2 linked regions of the Saccharomyces cerevisiae S288C genome follow. The protein of the gene in region 1 interacts with the protein of each later gene in a biochemical or structural test. Each region holds a gene or a part of one and is shown in the gene's direction. Other genes may lie near its edges.

The links.
Region 2: the proteins of NSP1 (region 1) and NTF2 form a complex in vitro, tested with the Saccharomyces cerevisiae proteins (2 studies listed by BioGRID).

The regions. Positions count from the first base shown.
Region 1 is NC_001142.9:362,101-370,485, forward strand, and holds NSP1 (FG-nucleoporin NSP1), read left to right. Parts: upstream 1-3,683; coding exon 3,684-3,684; intron 3,685-3,802; coding exon 3,803-6,273; downstream 6,274-8,385. Other genes in the region: MHP1 (Mhp1p), read left to right, coding at 1-3,345; NUP192 (Nup192p), read right to left, coding at 6,648-8,385.
Region 2 is NC_001137.3:170,362-174,643, forward strand, and holds NTF2 (Ran GTPase-binding protein NTF2), read left to right. Parts: upstream 1-1,753; coding exon 1,754-2,131; downstream 2,132-4,282. Other genes in the region: GTP-Rho binding exocyst subunit SEC3, read right to left, coding at 1-1,457; YER010C (bifunctional 4-hydroxy-4-methyl-2-oxoglutarate aldolase/oxaloacetate decarboxylase), read right to left, coding at 2,273-2,977. UniProt on the Saccharomyces cerevisiae protein: Facilitates protein transport into the nucleus. Interacts with various nucleoporins and with Ran-GDP. Could be part of a multicomponent system of cytosolic factors that assemble at the pore complex during nuclear import.

The DNA.
Region 1 (8,385 bases):
TTAGCCGCCTTCAAAGAAGGGAACTTTATTAAGTCATCTGCGTCTCCCACAACCAAGAAAAATAGACGCGCTTCGTTCTCATTACATAACGACAAACCACAACCTGCCAAATCACTTGCTCACCAGAAATTTGACGCTAAGGGAAGACCCATTCCGCCGCATCCCGACGCACCCAAATTGCCTTCCGCCTTCAGGAAGAAGCATCCAAGCAACGCATCGATAGTAGACACAGTGGATTCCAATTCGGACGTTTCCTCGTCAGCGCAGAATAATAATCAGACACCTTCTTCTCATAAATTCGGCGCCTTTTTAAGGAAAGTTACCTCTTATGGGAACAACAACAACAACAGCACCAATGCCTCCTCCCTTTCTGCAAACGTCAATAATCCAGACACCTCATCGACGTCCCTATGGTCTTCTAGTTCAATGGAGTTCGACCCTTCAAAGATAACCACCGTCCCCGGCCTCGAGAATATACGGCCCTTGAAACACGTCTCCTTTGCTACGAACACCTATTTCAACGATCCTCCACAACAAATATGCAGTAAAAACCCTCGTAAAGGTGAAGTGGAAGTGAAGCCTAATGGATCTGTTGTCATTCATAGGTTGACTCCGCAAGAACGCAAAAAAATCATGGAATCGACTAGTTTGGGTGTTGTCGTTGGGGGGACCGGGCAATTAAAACTATTAAATCCCGAGGAAGACGACGCAAATGCCAAGAGTAAAGAGGAGATGGCCCCTCAAAAGCAGAACGAAGTGGAGGCACACGACGAGGAGGATAACAATTCTCAAAGGAGAAACATCGTTATGGCCGCTGCAGAAGCTGCTGCAGAGGCCAGAGCCAAAGAGGCACCTAACGAATTGAAACGTATCGTGACCAACAATGAAGAAGAAGTCACTGTCAGTAAGACCGCCAGCCATTTGACCATCGATAAGCCAATGATTTCAAGAAGGGGTGCTTCCACATCCTCTTTGGCCTCCATGGTGTCCAGTGATACCAACGGTACGAACGCAGATGATGAAGGAGAAATTCTTCCCCCACCTTCTTTGAAGATACCTCACGACATTGTGTATACCCGTTGTTGTCACTTGCGAGAAATTCTGCCCATACCAGCCACATTGAAGCAATTGAAAAAGGGCTCGACGGACCCTATCCCCATCTTACAGTTACGTAACCCAAGACCTTCTATGGTGGAAATTTGGTCGTTCAGCGATTTCTTGAGCATTGCTCCCGTTTTATGTCTTTCGTTGGACGGTGTACAATTAACCGTGCAAATGCTTAGAATAATTTTGAGTTCGCTGGTTTACAAACAGCATTTCCAAAAACTTTCTCTAAGAAACACCCCCTTGGATGAAGAAGGATGGAAAGTTCTGTGTTATTTTGTCTCCAAGGCCAAGTCTCTGCACTCTATTGATTTGACAATGGTCCCTTCCATCAAGACAAATGTACAAAAGCCTTCTAAATCTTCTTTGAAGTCAAAAATTCTGAGAATGCAATGCAACTTGGAAAATAGATCCGACATGAACTGGGACCTTTTGACAGCTTCTATTGCCCTCATGGGCGGTTTGGAGGAAATTGTCATTTCCGGGGCCAAGATGAATTCTGCACAATTCAAAAACTTCATCCTCGTTGCTTGTATAGCAACCGAGAGATTGGGCCTCGCGTATAATGGATTATCTAAGAGCCAATGTGATGATTTGGCCAAGTGGATGGTTCAATCAAAAGTGACAGGTCTAGACGTTGGTTTTAACGATTTGAATGGCAAACTTTCCTCTTTCACCGATGCTGTTTTAGGCAAAATACAAAAAGCTAACGAGAAAAACGTCTTCAAATTTTTATCTCTAAATGGGACAAATTTGAGAGTGAACGAACACGACACTTTTGAGAATAACGAGGTCTTAAAACTGATAAGCGTTTTATGTTATTTGGAAAATTTAAAATTCTTGGATATATCGAACAATCCTGCCATCTTCCCCCACTGTGTTCCGACGCTGATTGATTTTTTACCTGTTTTTGTTAATCTTGTCCGTCTGCATATCGACTACAATAATTTAAGTTCCACGAGTGTAGTGATGCTGGCCGAAATATTACCCATGTGTTCAAGATTGAATTATTTTTCCATGTTAGGAACGGAATTGGATTTGGCATCGTCTAAAGCTCTAGCAGAGGCGGTGAGGAAAAGTTCATCTTTGATGACTTTGGACGTGGACTATGTGTATATGCCAGAGAACATTAAGGAAAAAATTTCATTATATGCTTTAAGAAATATTCAAGGGGAGTTGAAAAGGGTTAATAGTGACGATAAAGATATCAAAGATAGCCAATTTTCAAGCCTACAGGACCAACTATCACTTTTATTAACTGAAAAAGCGGATAATTCCGAACATTACAACAAAATGGTTGAGAATTTCATGGCCAAAATCGCGTTGGCACGTATCAAGATTAGTAAAGTGGTTCATGATCTTTTTGATTTAAAACTGAATGGACAATTAAATTTGGAAGGTAAGGAAGCTTTGATTAGATTATGCTTCATAGAGGCAAGTTTGGAAAGAGGCTGTGACCTGCTGAAACAAAGACATAACAACACTTTGAAATCACCAGAGGCCGTCTCAAAAAGTCGGAAAGGGGGAAATCAAGCACAACCCAATTCCGAAAGCTGTCAAAGAATGTTACTAAGCTCATCTATATTACAAAATTCAGATCATATTGCGCTTATGCCATTCGGTAGTGCAATAGTCGAAAAGTCAAGCCCAGATGCAGAAGATGCCGTCGAATTCAGAGAAGGTGACGACTCCAACGTAAATCACGAAGACGTACCAGCAAATGATCAACAATTTCGAGATGAAGTTGATATCAAAAACAAATACTCTATCATTAAAAGAGAACTAGAACACGAAAAGCTTGTCGGTGGTGGCGATTTGCCAGTGGACAAAGAAATCTTAAATCGTGCCGCACAATCCTTAGATAGTGACCAGATAAAGGAATTTCTGTTGAAGAATGACGTCTCTACTATCCTTGGCGTCATTGATGAACTGCATAGCCAAGGGTACCACTTGCATCATATTTTCAAAAAACAGGGAAACCAAGAAGAGACCGCGTTCAGAACAAAGGATGAACAACAGTCCTCCCAATCCAATGATTCAAGTGCTAATGCGTCCCCTACCACTGATCCGATATCCACAGGCTCCAATACTTCTAGAACGAACGATAATGCTCATATTCCTCCGACCGATGCGCCTGGATTTGATAAATTTATGAACAATGCAGAGGAAAATGCCATTGACGCTGCTTATGATGATGTGCTAGACAAAATCCAGGATGCGCGGAACAGTAGTACTAAATAATAAGGGATTTCTCTTAATTTTTTAATCTCTTTTTTGTATTGGGTTTCGAAAATATAATAAGGAGCCCTCAGACATTTACGTATCCTTTCATGTATGATTATTTTAAGTATTTTGTATTTTTTATTATTATTAATGTAAGCATAATGCTTTTGTAGAACTTGAGACAACCCGGACGGGTCCGATGAGTTTTTTTCTTCAAACTTTTATAGAAAATAATAAATGGTGTTAGCACCACTCAGATGTGATATTTGACGTGTCGATTGTGATACCTGAAGACGCTATTGGAGAGCCATTGCAACGCACAGTCCAACAGTAATAAGCTCTGATCGTTTTGAAAAAGTATGTTTCTTTCCATTGGACGGTTGTCTTCCGATCAAAATTTTATCTCCTATACAATTTCTTCCTATTTACTAACGAAAACCTGCGAACCTGTAAACTACATGATTTTTAATATTAGTGAACTTCAATACACCTCAACAAAACAAAACGCCCTTTTCGTTCGGGACTGCCAACAATAACTCTAACACCACCAATCAGAATTCCTCTACTGGTGCGGGCGCCTTCGGAACAGGTCAATCAACATTTGGTTTCAACAATTCTGCGCCAAATAACACGAACAATGCAAACTCTTCAATCACACCTGCATTTGGTAGCAATAACACTGGTAATACTGCATTCGGTAACAGTAACCCCACAAGTAACGTTTTTGGCAGCAACAATTCTACGACTAATACATTTGGTAGTAATAGTGCAGGGACATCCCTTTTTGGATCTTCCAGTGCTCAACAAACGAAGAGCAATGGAACTGCTGGAGGAAATACATTTGGTTCTTCATCCTTATTCAATAACAGTACTAATAGCAATACGACAAAACCTGCGTTCGGCGGTTTGAATTTTGGCGGCGGCAATAACACAACTCCTAGCTCGACCGGTAATGCTAACACAAGTAATAACTTATTTGGCGCTACCGCAAATGCGAATAAGCCAGCCTTTTCCTTTGGTGCAACCACTAACGACGATAAAAAAACAGAACCAGACAAGCCTGCTTTCTCCTTTAATTCAAGTGTCGGTAATAAGACAGACGCTCAAGCTCCCACTACAGGATTTTCCTTTGGTTCACAACTAGGTGGAAACAAAACGGTTAACGAGGCTGCAAAGCCTTCCCTTTCATTTGGTTCAGGATCAGCTGGTGCTAACCCAGCTGGAGCTTCGCAACCCGAACCTACAACTAATGAACCAGCAAAACCAGCCCTCTCTTTTGGTACTGCAACATCCGACAATAAGACAACTAACACAACCCCAAGTTTTTCGTTTGGTGCTAAATCGGATGAAAATAAAGCTGGTGCTACTTCTAAGCCTGCCTTCTCATTCGGTGCTAAGCCAGAAGAAAAGAAGGATGATAATTCCTCAAAACCAGCTTTCTCATTTGGTGCCAAATCAAATGAAGACAAGCAAGATGGAACGGCTAAGCCAGCATTTTCCTTTGGTGCCAAGCCCGCGGAGAAGAATAACAATGAAACCTCCAAGCCGGCATTCTCTTTTGGAGCAAAGTCTGATGAGAAAAAGGATGGTGATGCCTCTAAACCTGCCTTCTCTTTTGGCGCTAAACCGGATGAAAATAAAGCTAGTGCTACTTCTAAGCCTGCCTTCTCATTCGGCGCTAAGCCAGAAGAAAAGAAGGATGATAATTCCTCAAAACCAGCTTTCTCATTTGGTGCCAAATCAAATGAAGACAAGCAAGATGGAACGGCTAAGCCAGCATTTTCCTTTGGTGCCAAGCCCGCGGAAAAGAATAACAATGAAACTTCCAAGCCGGCATTCTCTTTTGGAGCAAAGTCCGATGAGAAAAAGGATGGCGATGCCTCTAAACCTGCCTTCTCATTTGGTGCTAAATCGGATGAAAAAAAGGACAGTGATTCTTCGAAGCCTGCCTTCTCATTTGGTACTAAATCGAATGAAAAAAAGGACAGTGGTTCTTCGAAGCCTGCCTTCTCATTCGGTGCTAAACCCGATGAAAAGAAGAATGATGAAGTCTCCAAGCCTGCCTTCTCATTCGGAGCAAAGGCTAACGAAAAGAAAGAAAGTGATGAATCAAAATCAGCCTTTTCATTTGGTTCTAAGCCTACAGGAAAGGAGGAAGGCGATGGGGCGAAGGCTGCCATTTCCTTTGGTGCTAAACCCGAAGAACAGAAATCCAGTGATACGAGCAAGCCAGCGTTTACTTTTGGTGCTCAAAAAGATAATGAGAAGAAAACAGAGGAATCTTCTACGGGGAAGTCAACCGCAGATGTCAAATCAAGTGATAGCTTGAAATTAAATTCTAAACCAGTAGAATTGAAGCCAGTTTCTCTCGACAATAAAACACTGGACGATTTAGTAACGAAATGGACTAACCAACTAACAGAATCGGCCTCTCATTTTGAACAGTATACCAAAAAAATTAATAGTTGGGATCAGGTACTAGTGAAAGGAGGTGAACAAATTAGTCAGTTATACTCAGATGCTGTGATGGCGGAACATAGTCAAAACAAAATAGATCAATCTCTACAATATATCGAGAGGCAACAGGATGAATTAGAAAACTTCTTAGACAATTTTGAAACCAAGACAGAGGCACTTCTGTCCGATGTTGTGTCTACAAGTTCAGGTGCTGCGGCCAACAATAATGACCAAAAAAGACAACAGGCCTATAAGACAGCCCAGACTTTGGACGAAAATTTAAACTCGTTGTCATCCAATCTTTCTTCTCTAATAGTAGAAATCAACAATGTTAGTAATACATTCAACAAAACCACTAACATCGATATAAACAATGAAGACGAAAATATTCAACTAATCAAAATCTTGAATTCACATTTCGACGCTTTAAGGTCACTAGACGATAACTCCACCTCTCTGGAAAAACAAATCAACTCGATAAAGAAATGATCTAAAAGAAAAAATTCCCTCTATTCTACACTTATTTGACATAGGATGTGCTATATTAAATAATTATATATAGGTATCAAAATGTACGCGATGGTTCAGAACCTGCAATTAATTTAACACCTCAATCATACTTGTTTTTTTCCTTTTTCAAGAAGTTTTTGTAATGTGTCGTGCCGATCTGTAAACGACCTGGATTTTTATTTCATTAGACAGTAAATACGCACCAAATCAGAACCAAAGAAAGGCTTCTGTAGTGTATGAAACTAAAAGCCACTTTTTGTGATAGTTTCTTCTTAGTACTTAGTACACAACCAAATATTTTGCAAAATGAAATCGATTCCTAAAAGTAATTCTTAAAAGTGATAATGAATGACTTAATCGTTATTTTGATATCCTGTTAATGTGCATAACATCACAATTAGCTTCACCATTTCGTTTAAACTTTGGTTATTAGGATCCGACGAATTTTTCTTATCTTCTTTTTCCCTCAAAAGATCTCTTTTGAATATTCCGATCACTAGCCTCTTATACGTATTCAGTAAACCCTTTACCGTTTGAACAACAGCTTTGTTTGAGCTCCCCATGCTCACTAAAACAGCTGATATCAATTGGAATATAGGAACGATTAACTCAAACAAGGAAACACCATTAGCATCTTTGTCAACTAGTAGCGGATTATCCAAGGTGACGTTAACCTTTAAGAATTTGGAATTCTGAACGTAGACTTCGTCAAACATAAGGTCTAGACCCAAATCAGGATCAACTTTTAAAAATGACAATTCCGCGATTATTCGGAATAGATTATTTTCAATTAAAGCGCTAGCTCCACCTCTAGTTTCGGCAACACGTATTAAAAAGAATACAGTGGCTTTAAAAGCTGTCAATTCATATAACAAATCATCAATGTTTATGTGCTCTGTAGTAGAATTTAACAAAGCATCTGTATTTTTCAGCGAACGTATTATTAAGAGCAGTCTTGTAGTTTTCATCAGTGAATCCAATATAAAATTCTCTTTACTTCTATTAGCCAGTTGAATAAGTGAATCCAATAGTAATATACCTGTAACCCTACTAGTTCCCTCGCCATAAACAACATCGTTCCATATGATCTCTACCAATTTTTTACTTCCTAGTCTCAAATCCTGCAGAACCTTTTCGGACCCTACTTGGTCGCTTAGAACTCTACTCAAATAATGGTTTGCTAATATATAGAAATCGGACCTTAATGCCACAGAGGAGAGTGGGGAGTTTATACCCTGAATACATGTCTTGAACAACTGATATAGCCTGCCGTCTACCGTGCCTTTGTCGGTAATCAACTTACGATCGCGGTTATATATATCAAATAGGAAAACGGCGAGAGAAACCAATTCTTCTGAAAAAGTTATATTAAACTCAATATAATCACTAATCTTCGGAATAATTGTACCAAAAACCTCCAGAATAAAGTTTGATCTTGTTGATGGTTCCAATTTTCCATCAGTAACAATGATTTGCACCAACTGTACCCAAGAGTGCAGCACAGATAGGTTCAACTCCAATGCTTTGTTTCTTGATATAATATTCGTGAAATGGCTTTTTGCTTTTATACACTCGACATCTGCATCCTTCAAAAATTGTTCTTTTGACACAGTGAGACTGAAGGAATTAGAATGTAAGCTTTCAGCACGGACTCTTTTAATCAGGCGCATAAGGTTTTCCATTTTGTGAAAGTCATAGATATTGCCGGAGCAATACTTGTTAAGAGTGACTTGTTCCAAATTTAAAGGAACATTGGTGAAAATTGATAACGTCTCTTTTGGTTCGCAGATATTGCCATAGTTTAATGGATCCAAGAAAGAAAACAACCTTACCGAATACATTGTATTTGATATCAAGTAATTCACATATGTTAAAACCTCTGATTTCGTGCCCGAAAATGAAATTTTATGAATGAACAGACCCAAATATTGTGTCCAATAATTCCTGTAGGCTAAGAATGACAGAAATGCACCAACGGATTCGCTCTCGATGAAGTTCTTACATTTTTCCTCTGTAGAATTGTCAAAAGGAGAGCCGTTCCATGTCGTGAACCTTGTCACTTGTGGATCGAGGATCATTATTCTCTCAAAA
Region 2 (4,282 bases), on another chromosome or scaffold:
TCCGCCAAAACTGCGTTTAAGTCCTCCAAAAGGTTATCAACCTTACCATTTATTTCTTGAGTATAACTTTCATTGTCTACTTTGTTTCTTTTACTTTTTTCTTCCTCCTCCTTTTTAGCAAGCGCTTCTTGCTCTTCTTTTTTTAATCTCTCAGCTGTTTCTTGTTCTCTTTGTTTTCTCTGTATTTCCAATAGTTCTCTCTCTTTTTTTAGGCGTTGCTCTTCTTCGAATTGCCGTTGACGTTTCAACTCCATTTGCTTTTTAGCCTCCAGTTCCATTTGACGTTTTCGTTCCTCTTCTTCGAGTTGTCGTTGGTGTTCCAATTCCATTTGCCTTTTCCTCTCCTCCTGCTTTATTCTTCTTTCCTCTTCTAATCTTTTCATCTCATTTTCCTTTTGTAACTGAAGTCTTTTTTGCTCTTCTAATCGTCTCAGTTCAGCCTCTTCTTGTTGCTGTTGTTGCTCTAACTCGTATCTTTTATTCACTTCATTCAATGTCGAATTGGAAGAATAGGGGGCCTTATTTAGAGATTTCATTCCTGCATGATATTCCACGCTTGCAGGCGTTGACACTGGATTAACGCTTTCTGTTTCAGACCTTCTTGTCCTCTCAGTAGGTGCTGAAAAGGGGACAGAGCCCACCGATTGGGTAGTGTTTGTCGTGAAATTACTTGTAGGTGACTTTATTGGAGATACGGAACCGGGGCGATTTGTGATGACTGCTCTTTGATAACTCCTCTCGTCAAGATAAAAAAGGGATAAATCCCAATTGACCAATTCAGGGACATGACCTTCGAATGTTTGAATGTATAGAGTAATTAGAGATTTAATGAAAACAGTTCTTTCCTTCGCAGAATTCGTTTCCCAGTAGTATTTTTTACTCATGGTAAGAATGAAGCCTTCAGATATCTCCAGGTCCTTCTCTACTCTTACTAGTTCGGTCAACTGCCAAGTTCTACCAATTTGAAAAGAGCCGTCTGAGTTTTCTCTTGCTTTATGAATTTGTATTAGCTTGGCATTGTTGGGCTTGGCACTCAAAATAAGGAGTCTTTTCTTTTTGTTCTCCAATTTTGAATCTGGAGGAGGTCTTGAACTAGGGAATTTTGAATCTTCTATAATCCGGACATGTGTAATATAATTATTCGGCGGTTCACCTGTCTTATGGTCGGGTCTGGAAAAGCAGCAATTAATTATGGCTTTCCTATCCCTTTCATATTGTTCGGCTAAAAAATTCGAAGTTTGAGAGGAATTTGAAGCTCTCGACACGTTTCTCTTATGCGAATAATTTCCACCAGAAACAGGTGGTGCGGAAGAGGGTACTGCACCTTGACTGACGTTTCTAGAATGGTGAGCACTGCTACCGGATATTGTTCTCTTGTGGAAAAACGATGTGTTTTCATCGTGTGATGTCTCACGACTGTGAGACTTCCTTTTAAAAGGAGACTTCGAGGACCTCATAATATAGAATAAATTGCGTAGCCTTGTTACCTAGCTGGAGATATCTGGCACCGACTCAGTCTTTATGACCGCTTTTTCTTCATAAGCTATGATACTGTTATTGCTATAAGTGTTCACCAAGTTAGTATTTGCCCATTAATACCGGGTGACATAGTCCCACAAGCGTGGTTCTCAAAAAGCAACGAAAAATTTTCTGACTTGGCAAGGTGAGACTTAGGCTGATAAGTAAGTACTTTTTAGTTTTTAGTGTACAATACCCCCTAAGGAACCCAGGTTTTAATACTATTATCTTTATAATGTCTCTCGACTTTAACACTTTGGCCCAAAACTTCACCCAGTTTTACTATAATCAATTTGATACCGATAGAAGCCAATTGGGTAACTTGTACAGAAATGAATCTATGCTAACATTCGAGACTAGTCAATTGCAAGGTGCAAAGGACATTGTTGAGAAATTAGTATCTTTGCCATTTCAAAAGGTCCAACATCGTATCACTACTTTGGATGCGCAACCTGCTTCCCCAAATGGCGATGTCTTAGTCATGATCACTGGTGATCTGTTGATTGACGAAGAACAAAATCCACAGCGTTTCTCTCAAGTGTTCCATTTGATTCCTGATGGAAACTCTTACTACGTGTTTAACGATATCTTCCGTTTGAATTACTCTGCTTAAGGATTTTTTAAGTCACCACAGAAACATGTATTTTCATTTTCGAATATTGTTTAGCATAATTGAAGATGCTTAGCTAACGATGTATAAGGCGATAGCGATAAAGAAGATATATATATATATATATGTATGAAGATAGCGTTTTTAAATGTATTTCTTTAATACTGATCTTCGATCATTTTGAGCTTGTTTGGCGGGAATACCATTCTTAATATCTTCAGAGACAAGTAAATCCACTTCAATTGACTTTTCGATATAGGTAACTAATTTTGAAATGTCAGTCTCTTGAACAGGAATGCGTACTATTCCATTATTGTCACCTGCAATATAATCACCAGGACATATTGTTTGGGTTACGCCATCACTCGTTAAGATTTTCAACTGTACGTTAGTGCCTACGGCTTTAACGACAGCCTTTGGAGCGCAAGATCCAACACCGTAAGCAAAAACGGGATGGTTTAAAGTCCGGTGTTCATCCACATCTCTTATGCGTCCAAAGACTACTGTCCCATTCGATTTCAAATATTGTGCTCTGGTACTCATCAGCCCCCCGTACATCGCTTGCGTAATTTTAATAAATGGGTGGAACTGACTTTGCAAATGGGGCTCCAGTGCGAGGACGAGTATTGAGTTGGGAGGGACAGAGTCTATATAGTTCACGGCAGGTCTTGGATCATCAATGGGTGCAAACAGTACTGTGTATGCAGTGCCTACTATGGAGCTATTTTGCGGTGGAGAAATTGCTGTTAGATTAGGGAAATAACCACCCGTTGGAATGTTATAAACATTCAACAATCCGTCCGAAATATCACAGGTTGAGAACCTCTGTAACTTTTGAAGATCTGACATTGCGGACGGCGGTTTCTACTTATACTGTTAATTTTTTTAAAAGTTGGTTTAGTTTATGGAAAGCCATACAGTTCAAGTTTTTTCGCGCTAAGTAAGGTGATCACTTTTTTTTATCGTTCTTATCACTTCCAGCTGTAATACATCATAGAGATTAATGAATGAGCAACGTTTGACTCACATACAGACCTAAGTGGCGGAAATTATTATTGGCAAAATAGCTGGGCTTGCAGTTTTCCTGATTATTTGGGTAAGCTGATGGTATTCTCCAAACGCGGTGGGCAAGATCTCAGATTATCTGCTCCTTATCGACTGCTTTTTATTTCTATAAATGAGCTTGTATACACATGTATAGTTTGTATTTGGATTATTTATACTTTTACGGATTATGTTCGTATTGTTTGTATTTCATTCCCTAATTTTCCTTTACAGATATAATTTCATGATTAAATTTCAAGGCAAAATATAAAATTATTCAGAAATAGCTTCATCACACAGTGTCTAGCGAAAATATTTGTTAAAATGCTTAACCCAAAGTGTCATTCTCGACAGTGAACCTTTCCTAAAAACTTACAATTGTTATTACAAAGTTCTTCGGGGGATAACAGTCATGGAGTTACAGCAATGATACCTTATGCGGCTAAGTTTTCTTTATTTGCACATAAAGGGTGCCTTCAACATTACTAGACTGCGTGGTGTTGTTCAATTCAAACTGGAGACATAGACTACGAAAATCTTTTAGTCAAATTTACAAGGGCGAGTAGCTTTTAATTGTGCCTTCATGTGCCAAGTAAATTGCGTACAAAAAGTGTCAAGAGATTTTCTCATTCCCTACATTTGCCAGTTCTATAGGCACCTTCTTGCGCATATACATATCTACAAATATCCCGGCTTATTTCCAGTATTACTATGTTTTACTCTTAATTCAAATAAGCACTGCTATTATTACTTTTGATCACGTCAAAAGATACAAAAGACAATCTACAAGTTTATGGCCTTGCATTGTTTATAATTTATGTGCTATCTGAGCATACCCGCCTTTTCTCTATTGTTATTCGAGAGAAGACTAAAAATATCTGCTGCAAGAACAAAAATGGGAACTGCTTGTCTCTTAAAATTATCAATCCACAATGGAAATAGACTTTTTTTACACAGCAACGGTTTTTGAATGCTATGAAACGGTCATTATCAGCTAACACGCTCAACACTTTACTCCATCTTCTTAAAGGGTGTAAACAGAACGATAAATGATTTCCATAAATAGTAAGGCCCAGCCGACAGCCTGCAGCGCAAAAGTGAACCGTTTCC